Arabidopsis thaliana: one gene and its partners. The protein of the gene in region 2 interacts with the protein of the main gene of each other region in a biochemical or structural test. Each region holds a gene or a part of one and is shown on either strand. Other genes may lie near its edges.

Region 1 (5,735 bases), on a different chromosome or scaffold from region 2:
GATCACCACACTGTTAGGTTCTAATTTGAAATGCCTTCCGACTAATACCAAGGATAATCATACCGTCTGCATTTCTAACTACCAAATAAATTAATTGGACCAAATCACAACTGAGAGACTTTCTAAACAAATTTGTTATTGTTTTCATGAAAAATCAAACTCAGGTATAGGAGTTAAAGTTTCCTTGTGCCACTACACCAAAGAGGTTTGGACAAATATCTGATTTTTAGAATTATTGAGAATTTAAGAAATGATTGAAAAAAGAAGTAAGTGAAATAAATGTGGTTGATGTGTGACCGTAACGAACAGCAAAGTGGACTAGTTGTTGTTGTCACGTAATCTTTCTACGTACACAAGTGTTCGATCTACATTTCGTGCGAGTTTATAGTATATGGTTGGTGCGTATAATACACCAATCTTTAGCTACTTTTACTATTTTTCTATAAGATTAACAACAACAATATACATGTCCCAATTTCTACATATCGTACTATAACTATTTTTAAAATAGTATAGTTATAATATTTATTACTAGTGAATAAAAACAGACATTCAATACCATAAGAAGAAGAATAGTTCTAGGTTAGAGTGAAACTGGTAAGTAATAATAATAACTCTCCAACCTAACAAACATTAAAAATTGTGGTAAACGGCGTAAGATAACGACCGTTAAAAAATCAGCCGAATGAAGATTAATGCGTGGCTAATATGCTCCGGATTTCACGGCGTCTGTCTTTTACAGTTAAAAACTTTTTTGTCGGGACTGCAAAAAAATCACATTTATCTTGTTTGGTCAAAATTAGTCATGAGAAGATTAAGACCATGCAATGCAAAGTACTCATTAATCTTTTAATTTTTTTTATTCAAAGTATATAATTACTCACGAAGTCGTGACACAATGAGTCAAAAAATGAATTAAATAAAACGGTGTAATCTTAAACTGTCTTTAGCACGTTACGATGAAATTTCAATTTTCGACTAATCTTTGACCCTAAACAATAGGTAACCACCGTCACCGTATTAAATGCTTTTTCTATTCTAAGAAATACAGATAAGTTTCCACGTATTGTATTCGTCCCACAAATATTCATAAGGAGGAAATAATATCCTTTTTTTATAGAAGCAAATGGAAATAATGTGAACAAAAATCCAAGATCTATTACAAAATAAAATATTTTAAAAATTTAGGAAAGACAATCGATATTATTAGCAGTTTAGTCCGAAAAATGCCGAAATACACTCAATCATAGAGATATTACTTTTATTATTACCAATTTTGACACAAATCAATTGTTAAAACTTCCTAAAAAGTAAAATTCTCTAATTGAATATATAAATAAAATATTTCAAACGTGATTTTTATTTACAAACTTTACAAATGTTAATAATATATTCACCTAAACTGAAAACATCTAAATGTCATAAAATTTGTATCTTATTCCTAATTCTGATTTTTTTTTAATATAAAGTTATAAACACAATTAGTAGATAATCTCATTATTCATAATTATGGATTATTCGGCGATTTTCACTATTGTTTTTCACCACTAATTATGCCACCTTGCCAGCTGTATTCACACACACACACACACTCTACACAAGCAAAACTTAAAGTATGCATTTTTATTAATTATGGTTCATCCATTTTATTACAGAAGAATAAATATTTCATTTGAATGAGAATAATAAATAAAAAGGCAATGCTTTTATGATCCTCTTACCTTTAATCTTCTTCGTCTCTCTATCTTCCTCGATCTCCGCCGATTCCTTCGTCTTTCCCTTTCCTCTCTGTAAACCTTTTCTTCTTCTTCTTCTTCAATGCCTCCCTAAAACCCTAGACTCAGAATTCTCAAAGGCGACACCTTTAACCTCCTCCACTCTGTTTCTTTCTCCAACAAAAAATGTCAAATTCCCATTTGGGTACTCTCTGTTTCATCATCTCTTTACTGGGTTTGGCCAATTTCTCACTTTCTCAAACCGGTCTCGATGATTCGACTATGCAATCTCTCAAATCAAGTCTGAATCTTACATCAGACGTCGATTGGTCTAACCCTAACCCTTGTAAATGGCAATCTGTTCAATGCGATGGAAGTAATCGTGTTACTAAGATTCAGCTTAAACAAAAAGGGATTCGTGGAACTCTTCCTACTAATCTTCAGAGTCTCTCTGAATTGGTTATTCTCGAGCTTTTTCTCAATCGTATCTCTGGTCCTATTCCTGATCTCTCTGGCTTATCTCGTTTACAGACTCTGAATCTACACGACAATCTTTTTACCTCTGTACCGAAGAATCTCTTCTCTGGTATGAGTTCTCTTCAAGAAATGTATCTCGAGAACAATCCGTTTGATCCTTGGGTAATTCCAGACACCGTTAAAGAAGCTACGTCTCTGCAGAATCTAACTCTCTCCAATTGCAGCATTATTGGAAAGATCCCAGATTTCTTCGGTTCTCAGTCACTTCCGAGCTTGACGAATCTGAAACTATCTCAGAATGGTTTAGAAGGAGAGTTACCGATGAGTTTTGCTGGTACTTCGATTCAGTCTCTGTTCTTGAATGGTCAGAAGCTTAATGGATCGATCTCGGTATTGGGGAACATGACTTCGCTCGTTGAGGTTTCTCTTCAAGGAAATCAGTTCTCAGGTCCAATTCCTGATCTCTCTGGTTTGGTATCTCTACGTGTGTTTAATGTTAGAGAGAATCAGCTCACTGGTGTTGTTCCACAGTCTTTGGTTAGTTTGAGTTCGCTTACTACTGTGAATTTAACTAATAATTATCTTCAAGGACCGACTCCGTTGTTTGGCAAATCCGTTGGTGTTGATATAGTCAACAACATGAATAGCTTTTGTACTAATGTAGCTGGTGAGGCTTGTGATCCTCGTGTGGATACTTTGGTATCTGTAGCTGAATCATTTGGATATCCAGTGAAGCTTGCGGAAAGTTGGAAAGGAAACAATCCTTGTGTTAACTGGGTTGGGATTACTTGTTCTGGAGGTAACATTACGGTTGTTAATATGAGGAAACAGGATCTCTCGGGTACGATTTCTCCGAGTTTAGCTAAGCTTACTTCATTGGAGACTATCAATCTTGCTGATAATAAACTCTCCGGGCATATACCTGATGAGCTTACCACATTGTCTAAGCTTAGGTTACTTGATGTGTCTAACAACGATTTTTATGGAATACCGCCAAAGTTTCGGGATACTGTGACTTTGGTGACTGAAGGGAACGCTAACATGGGGAAGAATGGACCTAACAAAACGAGTGATGCTCCTGGAGCTTCACCAGGAAGTAAACCTTCAGGAGGAAGTGATGGCAGTGAAACTTCTAAGAAATCAAGCAATGTCAAGATTATTGTTCCTGTGGTTGGTGGGGTTGTTGGTGCATTGTGTTTGGTTGGGCTTGGTGTGTGTCTTTATGCGAAGAAAAGGAAGCGACCTGCTAGAGTTCAAAGTCCAAGCAGCAACATGGTTATTCATCCGCATCATTCGGGTGACAACGATGACATTAAACTCACTGTTGCAGCTTCTAGTCTTAACAGTGGTGGAGGAAGTGATAGCTACAGTCACAGCGGAAGTGCAGCGAGTGATATTCACGTTGTTGAAGCTGGGAACTTGGTTATATCGATACAGGTCTTGAGGAATGTGACGAATAACTTCAGCGAAGAGAATATTCTCGGGAGAGGTGGTTTCGGGACAGTTTACAAAGGCGAACTCCACGATGGAACAAAAATAGCTGTGAAGAGAATGGAGTCTTCGGTTGTGAGTGATAAGGGACTTACTGAGTTTAAATCTGAGATCACTGTTCTGACTAAAATGCGTCATCGTCATCTCGTTGCGCTTCTCGGTTACTGCCTTGACGGGAACGAGAGGCTTCTTGTCTACGAGTACATGCCACAGGGGACACTAAGTCAGCATTTGTTCCACTGGAAAGAGGAAGGGCGAAAACCGTTAGACTGGACTAGACGGCTGGCGATTGCATTGGATGTAGCTCGAGGTGTCGAGTATCTGCACACACTTGCGCATCAGAGCTTTATCCATAGGGATCTAAAGCCATCAAACATCCTTCTTGGTGATGATATGCGCGCTAAAGTCTCTGACTTTGGGTTAGTACGTTTAGCCCCTGATGGCAAATACTCCATTGAGACTCGAGTAGCTGGGACTTTCGGATACCTTGCCCCAGAATACGCAGGTTTGTACTTACCCAAATTTTAAAGTCTCTGCCTTTCAATTGATTTGCACTTGCCCAGTGTCAAAGTTTCATACTTTGGCCGTTTTGCACTTAAATTTTCATGCTTTGATCTTATTGCATTTTCCTAAATGTTATAGTTTCATCCTTTGATCGTTTGGCAATTGTTCTATACTCTGATTTTGGCAGTGACGGGAAGAGTGACGACCAAGGTAGACATTTTCAGCCTTGGGGTCATACTTATGGAGCTAATCACTGGTCGTAAAGCCCTAGACGAGACGCAACCCGAAGACAGCGTCCATCTAGTCACATGGTTCCGTCGGGTAGCAGCCAGCAAAGACGAAAATGCCTTCAAAAACGCAATAGACCCAAACATCAGCCTCGACGACGATACCGTAGCCAGTATTGAAAAAGTCTGGGAGCTTGCTGGTCATTGCTGTGCCCGTGAGCCTTACCAAAGACCTGACATGGCTCACATCGTTAACGTCCTTTCTTCACTCACCGTCCAATGGAAACCAACTGAGACCGACCCTGATGACGTCTATGGGATAGACTACGATATGCCGCTTCCGCAGGTGCTTAAGAAATGGCAAGCTTTCGAGGGACTAAGCCAGACCGCGGATGACTCGGGATCTTCGTCTTCGGCTTATGGAAGCAAAGACAATACGCAGACAAGTATCCCAACTCGCCCATCTGGATTTGCTGACTCGTTCACTTCTGTGGATGGACGTTGAAAAAATCAAGATTGCGTAAAACGTTTTAGTAGAAGAAGAAGATGAAGCATTGTGTGATAAATCTCTCTCTCGCTCTCCCTTTTTTTGCTTTTCTCTGAAGCATATTTACTTATGACTTCGTTTTTATCTACTGCAAGCTTTTGGTTAGTGTATTTATCTATCTACTTTGTGTAGTTTTTATGCAAAGATAACAATCTTTGAGTTCTTAAAATTTTAATATTTCGTCAGTAAAATCCAACTCATAAACCGTAAAAGCTGAACCAAACAGTATTTTGAACTCACTGCGGTTTAAGTTATTAACATGTGTTTAGGGGTTTAAGCAAGTAGATTACTATAAGTACACTTTCTATGAGAAATCATTTTGTATTCCAAGCCCACAAGTCCAATAAAGCCATGTGTTTATGGGTTTGGACTTTGGACCATACACCCACTGGAATATCAAAGCAGTCTCCGTATTCATTCAATTTGCTATGAGCCAGTTGGTCCTTCCCTTCTAATGAAATACATGATTTTGGTGTCCCTCATTTTATAAAGCACACTGTCCAATCCAATCTTCATAATATTAAGCATCTACTATTTAGGTTCACTGATCATATGATATAAAATCTAAACATCAAAGGTGACACCAATAATTGGAACTAAGTTAGGCAAACTTAACCGTTTACATGTAAGGAACCAATTATCACTTATAAACCATTCACAGCTTTTGATGTAGTTAAAAAAGATTAGATATGAGCTCCAATATAATGCAGATTCAACAACAAAAACAATACTAGAGTTATATACTCATATGTCACTAATTATTTTAGATATATA
Region 2 (5,389 bases):
ACAACTGTGAAAATACAGCACTACTAAAAAGTAAAAAGTAAGAACTTTTTAATGTAGAACGTATGAGATGGTTCAATTAATCACAAGACACTTCTATGGCATTGCGTATTAAACGAAAAGTGAGTAAATAGAATTTATACATAATGATCTAATCTTGATCTTGCTAATAAAAATTGTAAAGGCAACAACAAGTTGTCAAAAATTTCAATTTGACGTAGAGATAAATTCTATCTAATAATTTTGTAAAAACATTCGAGATATAGTGTATCATTTTTCCATCATCTAGAACTCATTTGCGTATTTTCAAGTGTAAATCAGAACCTTGACACATAGGCTACACAAATTTTGGTCGATATTTATATTACTTTTGTAGCATAATGTGGATATCCTTCTAGAGACTAGAGTTCTAGATAAAACATTCATACATGTAACTATGTAAGTAAGCATGCATACTAAATATAAAATTTTCAAAAGTTTTAAAAGACATCATATAGATTCAAAAAGACGTGGGAAAAAGGAGAAAATGACAAAAGTTATTAGTAAAACAATCAAGTAAAAGGTCAAAGTAGTTAACGAAAAGATAAAAGTATTTCAAAAGTCTTCCTTCCATCTTGAAATGCCAAAAAATAAAAGACGAATGATTGAAGATAAATCAAAGTTGTCTGATTGCTATTGTATACATCTTTTTTTTTGTTAAAACTATTGTATACATCTAAAAAACCTTGAAGTAATCAAGATCTGAATTATAGCCGTTGATAAGGTTTTATGCTTTCACATTGAACTCGATCGTCGTCGTCAAATCTACTAGTCTCGTTTTTTAGTTTTAACGTGCTTAATTACTTCACTAATTTGTTTTTTGTTATCATTTTCACCAATTTTATTCATTGTGTGAATTAAGTTTTGTCCACATAGTAAGATTCATCAGTATAATAGGACATATGATAAAAGTTTGTATATAATCAAAGAGTATATCTAAGAATATCTAATTAAGATGAATGTTTCAGTCCACATTGGATTCTGCTTATAGTCAAACTGTCTTGTTCTTAAACCCAATTAGGTTAGAATACATGTACCAACAAATAGCATTTCTATAACTAATCTTTTATCAATTTACTTTATAGCCTACAAATAATTAGAGGAAAAGAAAAGAGAGTTAGTGGAATAATTGTCCTCTAAATCTCGATATCATCATTAACTAAATACTATATTTAGACCATATATACTATATTTTATAGTATACTATATTTTATAGTATATATAATCAACTAATCATATTAGACCACTATTAGAAATATGGATCTAAAAAAAACATTCTTTAATCAGTACTATTCTCATCCAAAGACTTGTTTTAAGAGACTAAATATGAATATGTGTATGTGTATGTGTATGCAGGAGTAGACACGTGCACGTGGCACATGCAGGGAATGGGAAGGTGGAGTGTTGACAAAGAAGAAGAGGATGATCCAAGTTTCGAAATGATTCCAAAAGTTATGAACTATAAGCCAAAGTGCTCAATCGCCAAACATGAACTTAAATAAACTTCACTCGTTAGATCGTTTTCTCACATTAAAGCCGCTCTACACTTTTACCCATTTTACCATTTATAATAACCACCACACATAGATATTAAGTTCTATGGATTTTATTCGTAAACTTAAGTTATGATCAAATAGCTAAATGATTTTGCGATTTGCCCGAGTTCTGTTTGTTTCTAAAATGGTTATCCAAAAAGCATATTTTTGTTTTATATAGAATTTGTGATATAGAAGAAATATACTAAAAATGTTTTAAAGTCTGTCTAAATCATAAACCAATGCAAAGAAAGTGAAATAAACCAAGATCTCGAGCAATAGACATAATAAATAAACAAACACCTAATAACATCACATCCCCACTAACAAATGTGAACATTAACTGTTAAAAATCACCAAAAAAGTCATCAAGATTTGGCTTTCCTTTTCAAAAGCAGTATACGTCTCTGTCTCACACAGACAGTGTATTCAATGCGTTGTGTTGTCTTCCCACTTTTCACCAGCTGAGGTTCTGCTTCTTTCTCTTCTTCTCTCCAAAACAAGAAAATTCTGCAGAATAACTTTTCATTCACGAGAGTGGAAGGTTACAGTTTTCCAAATCCGAGAAACAGACACAAAATTGGTCCCTCTCTAAAAGTTACTATCTTCGTTTAACAAAGAGATAGCTCCCAATCCAGTACAAAACAGAGTACTCTGCTCTATAAATTTCGTTCCTTTATTACTCTGCTCTATAAAACAGATTATTCTGCTCTATAAGAGAGATAGATAAATGAGCTAAAGCTCAGTAATTTCTAAACAGAGAGACAAGAAAATTCAAGAATGGTTACCTTATGTGCCACGTTACTGATCCTTCTCTCAATCTTTCTTGCAACTCCGTCGAATGTTCGAGGAAATGCAGAGCTGAAGGCTTTAATGGAGCTGAAATCGTCGCTTGACCCTGAAAACAAGCTTCTCCGTTCATGGACGTTTAACGGCGATCCATGCGACGGATCTTTCGAAGGAATTGCATGTAACCAGCATCTAAAAGTCGCAAACATATCATTACAAGGGAAACGTTTGGTCGGAAAATTGTCTCCGGCGGTTGCAGAGCTCAAATGTTTGTCAGGTCTTTACTTACATTACAATAGTCTCTCTGGAGAGATACCTCAAGAGATCACAAATCTTACTGAATTATCAGATCTTTATCTCAATGTTAATAACTTCTCTGGTGAGATTCCGGCAGATATCGGCTCCATGGCTGGCTTGCAAGGTTAGCATCTTATAATGTTTCACAGATCTTTCACTTGAATGTTTACTCGATCTTCCATTTGAATGTTTTGTGGTGTCTTTTGTTGCAGTTATGGATCTTTGTTGCAACAGTTTAACAGGGAAGATACCAAAGAACATTGGATCCTTGAAGAAACTTAATGTGTTGTCTCTGCAACACAACAAACTAACCGGAGAGGTTCCTTGGACTTTAGGAAACTTGAGTATGTTAAGCAGGCTTGATTTAAGCTTCAACAATCTGTTAGGTTTAATCCCAAAAACCCTAGCCAACATTCCTCAGTTGGACACTCTTGACTTGCGCAACAATACTCTCTCTGGCTTTGTTCCTCCTGGTGAGTTAATGATTCTTGAAACGTCTTTGTAAGAGCTTATCTCTCTGTTTCTTGACTCGGTTTTTTCTTCGTTATGTTTCTTCAAAGGTCTTAAGAAGTTGAATGGGAGCTTCCAGTTTGAGAACAACACCGGGTTATGTGGTATCGATTTTCCTTCTTTGAGAGCTTGTTCTGCTTTCGATAATGCGAATAATATCGAACAATTTAAGCAGCCTCCTGGTGAAATAGACACTGATAAATCAGCTCTTCACAACATTCCCGAGTCTGTATATCTCCAAAAGCATTGCAACCAAACACATTGCAAGAAATCCTCATCGAAACTCCCACAAGTTGCTTTGATTTCAAGCGTGATTACCGTCACTATAACATTGATTGGTGCTGGTATATTGACCTTCTTTCGCTACAGAAGAAGGAAGCAAAAGATCAGTAACACACCTGAGTTTTCCGAGGGAAGACTAAGCACAGATCAACAAAAAGAGTTCCGTGCATCGCCTTTAGTGAGTCTTGCCTACACTAAAGAATGGGATCCGCTAGGTGATAGCAGAAACGGAGCTGAGTTTTCACAAGAGCCTCATCTCTTTGTTGTAAATAGTAGCTTCAGGTTTAACTTAGAAGACATTGAATCAGCAACCCAATGCTTCTCAGAAGCTAATCTATTGAGCAGAAACAGCTTCACCTCAGTGTTCAAAGGAGTCCTCAGAGATGGTTCTCCGGTAGCTATCAGAAGCATCAACATAAGCAGTTGCAAGAACGAAGAAGTCGAATTCATGAACGGTTTAAAGCTTTTATCTTCGTTGTCACACGAAAACTTAGTGAAGCTACGTGGATTCTGCTGTTCTAGAGGCAGAGGAGAGTGTTTCCTCATCTATGATTTTGCTTCAAAAGGAAAGCTTTCAAATTTTCTTGACTTACAAGAACGCGAAACTAATCTGGTCCTTGCTTGGTCTGCAAGAATCTCCATCATCAAAGGGATTGCAAAAGGTTAAGTATTTGAAATATCACTTCTTTGAGTTCAAGGAACAAAATGTATTTAATACACAAATTTCTTGCAGGTATTGCTTACTTACATGGAAGTGATCAACAGAAGAAGCCTACAATAGTTCATCGAAACATCTCTGTCGAAAAAATCCTACTTGATGAACAATTTAACCCGTTAATCGCTGATTCGGGTCTTCACAACCTTCTAGCAGACGATATGGTCTTCTCAGCACTCAAAACAAGTGCAGCAATGGGATATTTAGCTCCGGAATACGTCACAACCGGAAAATTCACCGAGAAAACCGATATTTTCGCCTTTGGAGTCATCATTCTCCAGATACTCTCTGGTAAGCTCATGCTTACAAGTTCACTGAGAAATGCAGCTGAAAATGGAGAACATAACGGGTTCATCGATGAAGATCTTCGTGAAGAGTTTGATAAACCAGAGGCGACTGCAATGGCGAGGATTGGGATAAGCTGTACACAGGAGATACCAAACAATAGGCCTAATATAGAGACATTGCTTGAGAATATAAACTGTATGAAGAGTGAATGACTCTGCTTTTTAATTAGTATCTTTGTGCAAGTATGATTCTCCGGTTAGCTGTGTCCCACCAATTGGTTTTGTTTGTTTTAGTTCTCTCCAGTAAGAACCGGGTCCGGTTTATATTTTATTTAGATTTGTAGCTGAGAATTGAAGCTTTAATCAGTTAGCTATATGATTATAAGCAACGAAGAACTGATTAATGTAACAAAAGATACATATATAATAATCATCAAGGAGCAGTGTTTAAAACCCTCAAATCATGTCATCATACAGTTACAGTAATGATGATGCAACCTAAGTAAAGTAATTAGTCTTTGGTTACATTCACTAAAGATTTTCGAAACCATACATATAGGCGGAGATTAGTTTGTACCATGTCCTCTTACATTCATTGCAGCTTTCGGTCTTCGGGATGATTCTGCTCGTGCATGAGAAGGACTTGGATCAGTCGAGGGAAGTAACATTGGTTGCTCTCTGTTCACAAGACCACCTGCAAGAACATCAAAGAGATGATTTATCTTTGTTCACAAAGAAACGTACAACACGAAAACTTGACCGTGTAATAGGACTGCTTACTTCCAAATGAACCAGAGCGACTGGGTAACTGCATTTGCCTTCTAGCATTTCCACTCCAAGACTGTTCAAAACCAGCCAATTCATCTGCAGAATTTTGCAATTGAAAGCAAACGGTATATAAGGATATTTCATCCACAATAGAACATTTATGAAGCTTA
Region 3 (7,417 bases), on a different chromosome or scaffold from region 2:
GACTCCTCCTACACAGAAGAAAAAGAGGTGGTTGAATGTGACAAAACTTTTCCGAGCAGTGATTGATCTATCACATCATAAGTTAGGAATTGGGGAACGGAAAGCAAACTCATCTCCAGTGACACAAAGTTTGCTTGAAGATTCGTCTGAGCAGCTCAATGTTGATTGTCATGTGACTGTGAACAAGGAGAACATTCATCCTCAAGAAACTGAGGAAAACATTATGGAATTCCATTCTGCAGATGAAGAGAGTATAGTAAGTGGAAGTTCACCAAGTGAGGAGAGTTCATTCGTCTCCTTAGACCCAACCAGTCCTGTCAGATGTTCAACCAAAATTGAAAACGATTCAGTTAGCAGTGCTGGCTCAAATTTGCTTCCCGATGAAGACGACAAAAGCATAGTTTCAATTAGTGAAGAGAATTCATCTGTCTCCTCTGATCCAATCAGTCCTGCCATAGATTCAAATTACAGTGGAAAATATTTAGATTGCTGTACCGGTTCGGAAAACGATAAAGATCAACAAACAAGTGTAAATTCACCTCTTTCTGTATCTCCCCATAGGAGAAATGAGTATCCAGTAACTCAGTCTGATGAAGACGTCTCCACCGATAAATCTGTGGGCATAACTAAAGAGTACAAGCTTTTACATGGAATAGTTCAGTGGTTTCGGAAGCTTAAACGCACTTTGTCAAGTGAGGAGACTTCTCATAGAAAAGCTTCTGATGCCACAAAGACCAATGATGTTAAAATTAAAAAGAACCAAATAGGTTGCTATTCTGAATCCCACCCCCAAGCTTTGTCTTCTGGAGACTCAAGTCAGAATCTGAGGAAGACTCTGAAGAACCTTGGCCAGTCCATGCTCAAACACATTGAGGTAACTTCTCAGTTCTCATATTCATCGTGTTTCAGCGGTTACCAGCATTTATAAAAAGATAAGTACAAAGACAGTAAAATGGGTTATCGAACTGGTAAATGTATCTTTCGTATGGTCCTGAAGGTAACTAGTAAGTTAGTTTCTTGCCTCCAGTGGTAAAGGATTATTGTAACAAAGATATTTTGCCATTTCCATGACAATTCTTTACCGCCTTACAAGCTCAAATGTTCTGATGATTTTAGTCTATTTTATTTTCAGGCAATTGAGTTGGTTTTCCAACAAGAACCTTGTCTGGTTCCGGCAGGATTGATAGGGAACTTAGCTAAAACCAATTTGATCGAAAAGGGACAAGTCACTGCTACAACAGCACTTAAGGAGCTTCGGAAACTCAGTAATCTGTTGTCAGAGATGTGAGGTTGTGTTCTCTCATTTGTTTGAGTCAGCTCTGTAAATACATTATGAAATGTATATTGTTTTACATTTGTTTGAGTCAGCTCTGTAAATACATTATGAAATGTATATTGTTTTAGAGTAAAAGGATAAAGAATAAAACTTTCTGTTTTCAATCGAGGTGTGGTTAGGTCTAAATGTGTAGAGGAAAACTCATGAAAGAAATTGACCTCAATTTCTTAAATATTTTTGTACATTGATTTATTGAGATGAAGCCAAATACTTGTTTTAGTTCTTGTGTTAAAAGGGAATAATGATGACTCGTTTAATATATGTTGTGGAAGCCAGGAAATAGTGGAAGTTATGAATCCAAAAACAATAATCTGAATCTCCTTCACTATTCCCCACCACTTTTCCGGTTTGGAAATTGTTGTGAATACACTTTCGTAAGTCGTTGACATTATATTGAAGAAACTCTTATAAAATCACAAAATACCCTTTTGGCTTATAGTATATATATGCTTTCAGGGAAGGTGGTTCACATGTTGGCAACATGCCTATTGAATGACTGAAAATAACAAGCTTTTCATATATAAGGTTTAGTTTGAATCTATGAGAAATTGATTGAGAATTGTGACTGATGGGGAATTTCAACTTTCTTCCGCTAGTTTCTTTCGCAAGCTTTGTTGTTGTCCTTGTTCTTGTTTGTGCTCAAGACCAATCAGGTAGAGTTTAGACAATGATTTAGTTCCTTAAAGATATTGAATACGTCTATATATACTTTGTAAAAGGCTTTCATGTGCGTGTGCTTTACAGGTTTTGTTAGTATAGATTGTGGTATACCAGAAGATTCCAGTTATTACGATGAGAAAACAGACATAAAATACATTTCAGATGCTGCATTTGTCGAGTCCGGGACAATTCATAGCATAGATTCTAAGTTTCAGAAAAAAAATCTTGAGAAACAGTTCCAAAAGGTTAGGAGCTTCCCTGAAGGCAAGAAAAACTGTTACGATGTGCAGCCTCCTCAGGGAAAAGGCTTCAAGTATCTGATAAGAACCCGTTTCATGTACGGTAACTACGATAATCTAGGGAAAGCACCCGACTTCGATCTTTATCTTGGTGTCAATCTCTGGGATTCTGTTACTCTTGAGAATTCAACTACTATAGTCACCAAAGAGATCATCTACACTCTTCGCTCGGACAAGGTTCATGTGTGTCTTGTTGATAAAGAAAGAGGAACTCCATTCTTGTCTGTCTTAGAACTCAGGCTCCTGAAAAATAATATATACGAGACTGCTTCTGATTCTCTTATGCTGTATCGAAGATGGGATCTTGGTGCAACCGGAGATCTTCCTGCCAGGTTAAAAATTAATTAACCGTTTATACACTCTGATTATTTCTGTTTTGCCTTACGTTTCTCTAATAATATAGGTACAAAGACGATATTTTTGACCGCTTCTGGATGCCGTTGATGTTTCCGAACTTTTTGATCCTCAATACGTCGCTGATGATAGATCCGACTAGCAGCAACGGATTCTTACCCCCTAGTGTTGTCATGAGCACTGCAGTAGCACCAATGAATTCCAGCATAGAGCAGATAATGGTTTATTGGGAACCACGGGACCCAAATTGGAAATTCTATATATACATACACTTTGCTGAAGTTGAGAAACTTCCAAGTAATGAGACAAGGGAGTTCTCTGTGTTTCTGAACAAAGAGCAGATCGACACTACTAGTGTGTTTAGGCCTAGCTACTTGTATACAGATACACTTTACGTTCAAAACCCCGTGAGCGGACCATTTCTCGAATTTGTTCTTAGACAAGGTGTTAAGTCCACGCGTCCTCCTATCATGAATGCCATCGAGACATATCGTACCAACGAGTTTCTTGATTTGCCTACTGATCAAAATGATGGTAAGGTTACATATTCAGAATTAGAACTTGCCTCACTTAATATACTTAGCTCTCTACTTAGTCTGTTTAGTATGAATTGTAGTTGATGCAATTATGAAAATAAAGACCAAGTATAAAGTGAAGAAGAACTGGCTCGGAGATCCTTGTGCTCCATTTGGCTATCCTTGGCAGGGTATTAATTGTAGCTACACCGCTAACAATCCTCCGAGAATCATTTCTGTGTAAGAATTTGTTGAATAGCATATATCTCAGTACTATATGTTTCTGTCCTCAAAGCAACAAATGTGTGATTTGCAGGAACCTATCCTTTAGTGGATTGACTGGCCAGATTGATCCAGTCTTCATCACCCTTACACCATTACAGAAACTGTCAGTTTTTTATTTTATTTTATTTTTTGCAATTTATAGTACACAGAGTTTTTGAAGCCTAACTAACACAACCAAAACATTTCATTACAGAGACTTATCAAATAACAGATTAACAGGAACAGTACCTGATTTCCTTGCTAATTTACCGGATTTAACCGAGTTGTAAGTCATCCCAACTGAATTTTCATATTAGAAAAACGTTGGTATCTTTTACTAATATTTATGGATTCCACACATGTTTCTGCAGAAACTTGGAAGAAAACAAGTTAACGGGTATCCTCCCGGAGAAACTATTGGAGAGATCAAAAGATGGATCGCTTTCTCTGAGGTTGGTTCTTGATAAGATTTTGAACTCATCCCACATTTGTTGATTTGAAACAGTTCAATTTGGCATGTATTAATGGTTTGTTCTTCACATAACGTTTCTGAATTTTAATCATTAGAGTTGGCGGGAATCCAGACCTTTGCGTGTCTGATTCATGTCGAAACAAAAAGACGGAGAGGAAAGAATACATTATTCCATCAGTAGCATCTGTTACAGGATTGTTTTTTCTCTTGCTCGCATTAATTTCTTTCTGGCAATTCAAGAAGAGACAACAAAGTGGGTGAATCATAAAACACCTGTTAAAATTGCTTATTTTTTCCAAGACTTTTGATGAAAATAATTTCTCATTGATCTCTTAGCAGGTGTCAAGACCGGACCACTAGACACAAAGCGATACTACAAGTATTCAGAAATAGTGGAAATTACAAACAACTTTGAGAGAGTTCTTGGCCAAGGAGGCTTCGGAAAAGTATACTATGGTGTCTTACGTGGGGAACAAGTTGCTATCAAGATGTTGTCTAAATCATCAGCTCAAGGCTACAAAGAATTCCGAGCAGAGGTTACTCTCATATAGTCTTAAAGGTTCAGTCCAGATGAAAAGTGAACTATTCTGAGAGAGACATGGACTTTTTGATTGTCAGGTTGAACTTCTCCTGAGAGTTCATCACAAGAACCTAATAGCTCTTATTGGATACTGCCACGAAGGAGATCAAATGGCACTTATCTACGAGTATATCGGTAATGGGACCTTGGGAGACTACTTGTCAGGTCAGCCTCATGTAGTCAATTTTTGGTCACTTGTCTTTGTTATAATCAGAAGAACTTAATCTGATTGTCGTTTTCTATAATTAAGGGAAAAACTCGAGTATTTTGAGCTGGGAGGAAAGGTTACAGATATCATTAGATGCAGCACAAGGTACACCATTACTGTATCTCAAAATTACATATAAAAATAGAATGAGAAAATCAATAAAACTTTGGTTTGCTTGAAAAAAACAGGGCTAGAGTATCTCCACAATGGATGCAAACCTCCTATAGTTCACAGAGATGTGAAACCTACGAACATTCTAATCAACGAAAAGCTCCAGGCCAAGATCGCTGACTTCGGTTTATCTAGAAGCTTCACACTGGAAGGTGACAGTCAGGTTTCAACTGAAGTCGCTGGAACTATTGGCTATCTTGACCCTGAGTAAAGCTTTTCTCTTCGAACCTCAAATCTCAGCTATTTTTGTTGTTGTCTATATTCATTTGTTTCTCTACTCTATGGTTATTTGAAATGAAGGCACTACTCGATGCAGCAATTCAGCGAGAAGAGTGATGTTTATAGCTTTGGGGTGGTACTCCTGGAGGTAATCACGGGCCAACCGGTAATTTCACGTTCAAGGACTGAAGAGAACAGACATATAAGCGACCGAGTTAGCTTGATGCTGTCTAAAGGAGATATCAAAAGCATTGTGGATCCGAAGCTAGGAGAGAGGTTCAACGCTGGCTTGGCCTGGAAGATCACTGAAGTAGCATTGGCTTGTGCGTCTGAAAGTACTAAGACAAGACTCACGATGAGTCAGGTTGTGGCTGAGCTAAAAGAGAGTCTATGCAGAGCAAGAACCAGTGGTGATTCTGGAGATATTTCTTTTAGCGAGCCGACGGAGATGAACGTGTCCATGACTGTTGACCCGGGGGTGCTTCCTCAACCGAGGTAATGCATCTCAGTTTAAAAGCATTTGGAAAATTATGTGAGCTATGAAATAAAAATGATTTGTGATTAAGAAGAGAAGAAAGGTTGGGTATAATTGAATTGTTTTTTTTTTTGCCTTAAATCTTAGTAACGGTAAGTTCTTTTATACATTGTTTACTTTCTGATCGACACTTTAATTCTTGAGCTACATATATACAAACATTCTTTAATGGACAAGAAGAAAAAATATTGTTCTGATACCCTTCAATTGAGCTCTATTGTTCTGATAAAAACATTAATACATAACCTGTGAGTATGGGACTGGCTTAGTAAGGTAGATATAAGGAAGAAGATGGTCACAAAGAGAGTACATATGGTAAAGTAAAGCATGGTTATACTGTAAAGTAAAGCTAGTTTATATAGAAAACTAACTTTGATATAGCTTTCATATAAGAAGCAAGGACAAGCCTGAGATCATAAAGCTTCCATGCAAAAACCTTTAGAGAAAACGTACAAAATTAAAATCTGGCGGGTTCAGTATGTTACATAGGTCAAATTACAGTGGAAATGATTTAGATTGATGTACCGGTTCAGAAAACGATAAAGGTCAACAAACAAGTGTAAATTCACCTCTTTCTGTATCTCCCCATACGAGAAATGAGTATCCAGTAACTCAGCCTGATGCAGTCAACTCTACAGATAAATCTGTGGGCATTACTAAGGAGCACAACCTTTTACATGGAATAGTCCAGTGGTTCCGGAAGCTTAAACACACTTTGTCAAGTGAGGAGACTTCAGATAGAAAAGCTTCTGATGCCACAAAGACCAGTGATGTTGAAATTAAAAAGAACCAAATCGGTTGCCATTCTGAGTCCCACCCCCAAGCTTTATCTTCTTGCAGCAATGGAGACTCAAATCAGAATCTGATGAGGACTCTGAAGAACCTTGGCCAGTCCATGCTCTAACACATTCAGGTAACTTCTCAGTTCTCATATTCATCAAACTGGTAGAAGTATTTTTCGTATGGTTCTGAAGGTAACAAGTATGAGTATGTTAGTTTCTTGCCTCTAGTGGTATAGGATTATTGTAACAAAGATATTTAGCCATTTCCATGACAATTCTTCTCCGCCTTACAAGCTCAAATGTTCTGATGATTTTAGTCTATTTTATATTCAGGCAGTTGAGTTGGTTTTCCAACAAGAACCTAGTCTGGTTCAGGCAGGATTGATAGGGAACTTTGCTAAAACCAATTTGATCGAAAAGGGACAAGTCACTGCTACAACAGCACTTAAGGAGCTTCGGAAACTCAGTAATCTGTTGTCAGAGATGTGAGGTTGTGTTCTCTCATTTGTTTGAGTCAGCTCTGTAAATACATTTGAAATGTATATTGTTTTAGAGTAAAAGGATAAAGAATAAAACTTTCTGTTTTCAATCGAGGTGTGGTTAGGTCTAAATGTGTAGAGGAAAACTCATGAAAGAAATTGACCTCAATTTCTTAAATATTTTTGTACATTGATTTATTGAGATGAAGCCAAATACTTGTTTTAGTTCTTGTGTTAAAAGGGAATAATGATGACTCGTTTAATATATGTTGTGGAAGCCAGGAAATAGTGGAAGTTATGAATCCAAAAACAATAATCTGAATCTCCTTCACTATTCCCCACCACTGCTTCAGGACCAACTATGTTCTCATTCTCGTTTGCATAAGATCGGTTCTCTGCATCTTTACTTCCCTACCTTGTCTTTCTACACATCATATAAGGAAGATTCTGTTATGTTATAGCAATAGCTTCTGAATAAAATATAGGAACATGCAATATCTACATAACAAATTTAAAAACTCATAATAACTAATCTAATTAAAC
Region 4 (5,947 bases), on a different chromosome or scaffold from region 2:
CACTTTACGGAAATATTTTTGCGATGGATCTAATATTGTGACAGATTGGTTTCGAACATAAATCTCTTGTTACATGCTATTTGCCGAATTGCTAGAAAAATTTCCTTGCAAATATATAACATGTTCTTTTGTATTGAATTTGTGAGTTACATTCATTGCTATATACTTATATTGATGACATATACGTTATAATCGTTTGGAACAGATCTTTCAGCTATACATTATTATGTTGGTATGCTACGTGATACTCTTTTAACACCCAACAAGTAACAAATTTTTGTTTTCAATAAAGTAATATAATAAAGTCTTGCACTGATTTGAAAAAGTTGAGTTCATTTAGTATTTTTGACAGGTCTCACTCACTACAATATTCATCATCATTCCCTAATTTATGACAAACACAATTATTATCCAACCTAAAAAAATAAAACATTATATAGTTAGAATTAGAAATGATAAAGTTTTTTTTTTCCTTGTAGATCTTGCAGAGAGCCATGTGCATGGGGAATAAGCTTCACCTGGGTTTTTCTTATACACATATTAAAAAAAAAAAAAATCTCATAGAAAGTAATAACAATATAATAGTAAAAAACTAAAAATAAAAAGATAAAAGGACTTTAAATCATCATGATTCATGAGACAGCAACGAAAGATACATGTAGCATTTTGCTAAAAACAGACACATCAAATTTATAAAAATTTGCATATTAATTGTATCCACATATATTCATATTATATGTATTAAAACATTCATATAATATTAATATAATAATTATTTCATTATTTGTTTGTATATCTTTGTTGCGGACTTTCGGGTCGTTAGTCGAGACTTCTTTATGAAATTTTGTTTTGACAACTGTATGCTTTTTATAATAACTTTGATAGTAATTGATATATATTATACTGATATTTTATGCTTTTTTTTGTGTGTTATCTACGAATCATTTGCCAATCTTTTTCACAACTTTTGCACTCTTATGCCATTGACAGCCTAGAACCCTCGATGTGTGATCACTAAAATACAACCAATTAAATTGTTTAGTTATCATTTTGGTGAACTACCGAATATAGAATATATATAAGAAAATCGAACTTTCGCCTATAATTACTTTTTAACTTTTCAACTTTCAAGACATTAATTTTCTTCAATTACGTATTTAGAAATAAAAGGTTCAGAATGTGTAGCTGGCACAAGGATTCTACTCTTTGGTTAATTGAATTTAGTGATTTTACTTGCAAGTTACAACAACTATTACTTACTGTATTTCTTATTAAACAAATACCACTAAATAACCATGATTTGTGTTTTTTTCTTCTTCTTATGAAATTAGTGAACTGCATTTTTAATACTGTACTTCATTTTTCGTTTGTGATTTAAAAAATGGTTTGGATTATGAATTTTGACTTAACATAATAGTAATGTAAGTTCTGCGTATAAAATTCAACTCTGTTATGCTATTTATCCTATAAACATTATTTTGAAAATTACTCACACTAAAACACACCACTTATTTACGAAAATTTAACCATATTTTCTTGCTAATAAAGTAATAATCCCCTCTAATTTGAATTACATAACAAATTCACCCTTATAAACAACTTGTCTTTTTTTTTTTTGTGCGAATAAACAACTTGTCTAAAAATTAAAATCTCGTATATATACATAACTTACCAAGATACAAAAAAGCAAATTTGAGATATTTTTGGCAATTTAAACGATACATCTTTTACCAATGAAAAAGCAAAATTGAGATATTAATTGCTTTTCTATTTCACCATTTCGTTTGTGTGAAGCATTTGACAAAATCCAACTCACACTACGTAGTCAATATATCCACTACAACCTTTAATTATTTTCCAAATAAACGTTATCTCAATCCTATGATAAAAATTAAATAAATTAAAAAACTCCAAAATAAAATAAAAATAAAAATAAATATATCTAATCTGTTACCAAACTGTCATTGGCTTAGTGGGACAGACATCCCATGTGCAGTCTCCTTGGCTTCTGCTTCATAGTTTCATCTTCTTCCTTCTCTCTCAATGGCCCATCTTCCCATTTCCTAAAAGCTTCAAACTTTCTTCACATTTCTCTCTTTATCTCTCTGTTTCTTCTTCAATCCTCTGTTTCTTCAAGCTATGAAGAAAAGAAGAACCTTTCTTCTATTTTCATTTACCTTTCTTCTTCTTCTATCTCTTTCTAAAGCTGATTCTGATGGAGATCTCTCAGCGATGTTATCACTCAAGAAAAGCTTAAACCCACCCAGTTCTTTCGGTTGGTCTGACCCTGACCCATGTAAATGGACTCACATCGTTTGTACAGGAACAAAACGTGTGACCCGGATCCAAATCGGGCATTCGGGTCTTCAAGGTACACTTTCTCCTGATCTACGTAACTTATCAGAGCTTGAAAGACTTGAGCTTCAATGGAACAACATCTCTGGTCCTGTTCCTTCTTTAAGTGGTTTAGCTTCATTACAAGTCTTGATGTTAAGTAACAACAACTTTGATTCTATCCCTAGTGATGTCTTTCAAGGTTTAACTTCGTTACAATCTGTAGAAATTGATAACAATCCTTTTAAGAGTTGGGAGATTCCAGAGAGTTTGAGAAATGCTTCTGCTCTTCAGAATTTCTCTGCTAATTCGGCTAATGTTTCCGGTTCTTTACCCGGTTTTCTCGGACCGGATGAGTTTCCCGGTTTGTCGATTTTGCATTTGGCTTTCAACAACTTAGAAGGAGAGTTGCCTATGAGTTTAGCTGGCTCTCAGGTTCAGTCATTGTGGCTCAATGGTCAGAAACTAACCGGTGATATTACTGTTCTTCAGAACATGACTGGTTTAAAAGAGGTTTGGCTTCACTCCAACAAGTTTTCGGGTCCTTTACCGGACTTTTCGGGTCTTAAGGAGCTTGAGAGCTTGAGTTTGAGAGATAACTCCTTTACAGGTCCAGTTCCTGCGTCTTTGTTAAGTCTTGAGTCACTTAAAGTTGTGAACTTGACGAATAATCATCTACAAGGACCAGTGCCTGTGTTTAAGAGCTCTGTTTCAGTTGATTTGGATAAAGATTCTAACAGCTTTTGCTTGTCTAGTCCTGGTGAGTGTGATCCTAGAGTGAAGTCTTTGCTTTTGATAGCTAGTTCATTCGATTATCCGCCCCGGCTCGCTGAGAGTTGGAAAGGAAACGATCCTTGTACTAACTGGATTGGGATAGCTTGTAGCAATGGGAACATTACTGTTATCAGTCTTGAGAAAATGGAACTAACCGGGACGATTTCTCCCGAGTTTGGAGCGATCAAGTCGCTTCAAAGAATCATTCTTGGTATCAACAATCTTACTGGTATGATTCCTCAAGAGCTTACAACGTTACCTAATCTCAAAACACTCGATGTTTCGAGTAACAAGCTTTTCGGGAAGGTCCCGGGTTTTAGAAGCAATGTTGTTGTGAATACTAATGGTAATCCTGACATTGGAAAGGATAAAAGCTCTTTGTCTTCTCCTGGTTCTTCTTCGCCTTCAGGTGGTTCGGGTTCAGGTATCAACGGTGATAAAGACCGGAGAGGAATGAAGTCTTCGACTTTTATAGGAATCATTGTTGGTTCAGTTCTTGGAGGTTTGTTATCAATCTTCTTGATTGGTTTGTTAGTTTTCTGTTGGTACAAAAAGAGGCAGAAGAGATTCTCAGGAAGTGAGAGCTCAAATGCAGTAGTGGTGCATCCGCGACATTCGGGGTCTGACAATGAGAGTGTTAAGATTACAGTTGCGGGTTCAAGCGTAAGCGTTGGAGGGATAAGTGATACTTATACGCTTCCTGGTACAAGTGAGGTTGGAGATAATATTCAAATGGTGGAAGCAGGAAACATGCTGATATCAATCCAAGTGCTTCGTTCTGTGACTAACAACTTCAGTTCAGATAACATTCTTGGATCAGGAGGTTTCGGGGTTGTGTATAAAGGCGAGTTGCACGATGGAACGAAGATTGCGGTTAAGAGAATGGAGAATGGAGTTATTGCTGGTAAAGGCTTTGCGGAGTTTAAATCAGAGATTGCGGTTTTAACAAAGGTTAGGCATCGTCATTTGGTTACGCTTCTTGGTTATTGTTTGGATGGGAATGAGAAGTTACTTGTGTATGAGTATATGCCTCAAGGGACATTGAGTAGGCATTTGTTTGAGTGGTCAGAGGAAGGACTTAAGCCTCTGTTGTGGAAACAGAGATTGACTTTAGCTTTGGATGTTGCTAGAGGTGTGGAGTATCTCCATGGATTAGCTCACCAGAGCTTTATACACAGGGATCTTAAGCCTTCTAACATTCTTCTTGGGGATGATATGAGGGCGAAAGTTGCAGACTTTGGACTCGTTCGTCTCGCTCCTGAAGGAAAAGGATCGATTGAGACTAGAATCGCTGGAACATTTGGTTACTTGGCACCCGAATACGCAGGTTAGTTTGTTTCTTTATGATGATATGATTCAGTTTGTACTAAAGATTGTTTATTGATGATGATTGTGATCTTGTTTGTTGCAGTAACGGGTCGAGTGACAACGAAGGTCGATGTATACAGCTTCGGGGTAATCCTAATGGAACTCATAACGGGAAGAAAATCTCTAGACGAATCGCAACCAGAAGAAAGCATTCACTTGGTCTCTTGGTTCAAACGGATGTACATCAACAAAGAAGCATCATTCAAGAAAGCGATCGACACGACAATAGACCTAGACGAAGAAACCTTAGCCAGCGTTCACACTGTTGCTGAACTAGCAGGCCATTGCTGTGCCCGTGAGCCTTACCAGAGACCAGACATGGGACACGCAGTCAACATTCTGTCATCACTCGTTGAGCTATGGAAACCGTCGGATCAGAATCCAGAAGACATATATGGTATCGATCTCGACATGTCTTTACCTCAAGCACTTAAGAAATGGCAAGCTTATGAAGGAAGAAGTGATCTCGAATCTTCAACTTCATCACTTTTACCTAGCTTGGACAACACGCAGATGAGTATTCCCACTAGACCTTACGGATTCGCAGAGTCATTCACTTCAGTAGATGGACGATGAATGAGAGATTCCTTGAAACCCAGATTTGATTTTTCTCCTTTTGTATATTTGTGTTTCCTCTCCTCTTCTTCCCCTCACAATTCTTTCATGTTTCTTGTGATGCAAGTAACATTTAGGGCTTAATTTGGGTGTCTTAATATTATTTTGATGTTGAGTGTTTTATTTGTTGGTTTGTTGATTTAGAAAAGTTGACGTGTGTACTTCAAGTTTGTGGGAAATGGTAAATGACAGTGAGGTAGAGAGGTTGGCATTGGATCCATCTTCACATGGCTGTCTCTTTTGTTTGGATCTTCATTTTTTAAATATCTTTATAAATTGACATCAACTTGATCTCAACCAAAATGTTTTCTGTGAATTTAGTTTCGGACTTAATACCTAGTATTAATATATAAGTATTGGATTAAATTAGTATCTGGTGACACAGATTCACAACTTTTTTTTTTATCATGGTATCATGTAGGTAGAGTGTTGAACATTGTAATAGCATCCAAAGTAAATAAAACTTATTATAAAATGGATGATTAGGTATGGTTTCGGTTTTTAAAGAAATTTAAGTTTCAGATTTTGGCTAATATTCATTCATATCAAACTTGTATGTATTTTGGTTACATGAAAACGAGAAAAGGACAGTGTATTTTTAGAAATTATAAATCATCAAGATAACGTTTGGTAACAGTTCAACCAATTCAAAGAAATAAACAAAGTTTTGGTCAGGACTACAATAATTCGATTATATTTTTGTTTTGTTAGGCTGATTTTAAAACAAAATAGAAACCTTGGACTGGAAATCTAAAACATAATTATGTTAATATCGTTACACTTATCATCAATTTAAAGTTGTGTATAAATAAGTACAATTCAATACAGCACAGAGAACAGGGAGATAGTAATACTT

Evidence for each region.
Region 1: the proteins of AT4G22730 (region 2) and AT2G01820 form a complex in vitro, tested with the Arabidopsis thaliana proteins (one large-scale study listed by BioGRID).
Region 3: the proteins of AT4G22730 (region 2) and AT2G19230 form a complex in vitro, tested with the Arabidopsis thaliana proteins (one large-scale study listed by BioGRID).
Region 4: the proteins of AT4G22730 (region 2) and TMK1 form a complex in vitro, tested with the Arabidopsis thaliana proteins (one large-scale study listed by BioGRID).

What each region holds. Positions count from the first base shown.
Region 1 is NC_003071.7:356,848-362,582, reverse strand, and holds AT2G01820 (Leucine-rich repeat protein kinase family protein), read left to right. Parts: upstream 1-1,658; 5' UTR 1,659-1,901; coding exon 1,902-4,188; intron 4,189-4,374; coding exon 4,375-4,919; 3' UTR 4,920-5,230; downstream 5,231-5,735. UniProt on the Arabidopsis thaliana protein: Involved in auxin signal transduction and cell expansion and proliferation regulation.
Region 2 is NC_003075.7:11,939,033-11,944,421, forward strand, and holds AT4G22730 (Leucine-rich repeat protein kinase family protein), read left to right. Parts: upstream 1-1,968; 5' UTR 1,969-2,351; coding exon 2,352-2,781; intron 2,782-2,869; coding exon 2,870-3,130; exon of another isoform or gene 3,131-3,217; coding exon 3,218-4,111; coding exon of another isoform or gene 4,112-4,116; intron 4,117-4,182; coding exon 4,183-4,664; 3' UTR 4,665-4,853; downstream 4,854-5,389. Other genes in the region: AT4G22740 (glycine-rich protein), read right to left, coding at 5,018-5,145, 5,232-5,315.
Region 3 is NC_003071.7:8,342,919-8,350,335, reverse strand, and holds AT2G19230 (Leucine-rich repeat transmembrane protein kinase protein), read left to right. Parts: upstream 1-1,904; coding exon 1,905-1,989; intron 1,990-2,080; coding exon 2,081-2,627; intron 2,628-2,698; coding exon 2,699-3,183; intron 3,184-3,265; coding exon 3,266-3,404; intron 3,405-3,480; coding exon 3,481-3,552; intron 3,553-3,642; coding exon 3,643-3,714; intron 3,715-3,799; coding exon 3,800-3,880; intron 3,881-3,995; coding exon 3,996-4,153; intron 4,154-4,236; coding exon 4,237-4,436; intron 4,437-4,518; coding exon 4,519-4,645; intron 4,646-4,730; coding exon 4,731-4,793; intron 4,794-4,876; coding exon 4,877-5,066; intron 5,067-5,159; coding exon 5,160-5,573; coding exon of another isoform or gene 5,574-5,577; intron 5,578-6,207; coding exon 6,208-6,385; intron 6,386-6,453; coding exon 6,454-6,526; intron 6,527-6,587; coding exon 6,588-6,625; intron 6,626-6,728; coding exon 6,729-6,884; downstream 6,885-7,417. Other genes in the region: AT2G19240 (Ypt/Rab-GAP domain of gyp1p superfamily protein), read left to right, coding at 1-874, 1,133-1,288.
Region 4 is NC_003070.9:24,629,364-24,635,310, forward strand, and holds TMK1 (transmembrane kinase 1), read left to right. Parts: upstream 1-1,974; 5' UTR 1,975-2,139; coding exon 2,140-4,435; intron 4,436-4,519; coding exon 4,520-5,052; 3' UTR 5,053-5,418; downstream 5,419-5,947.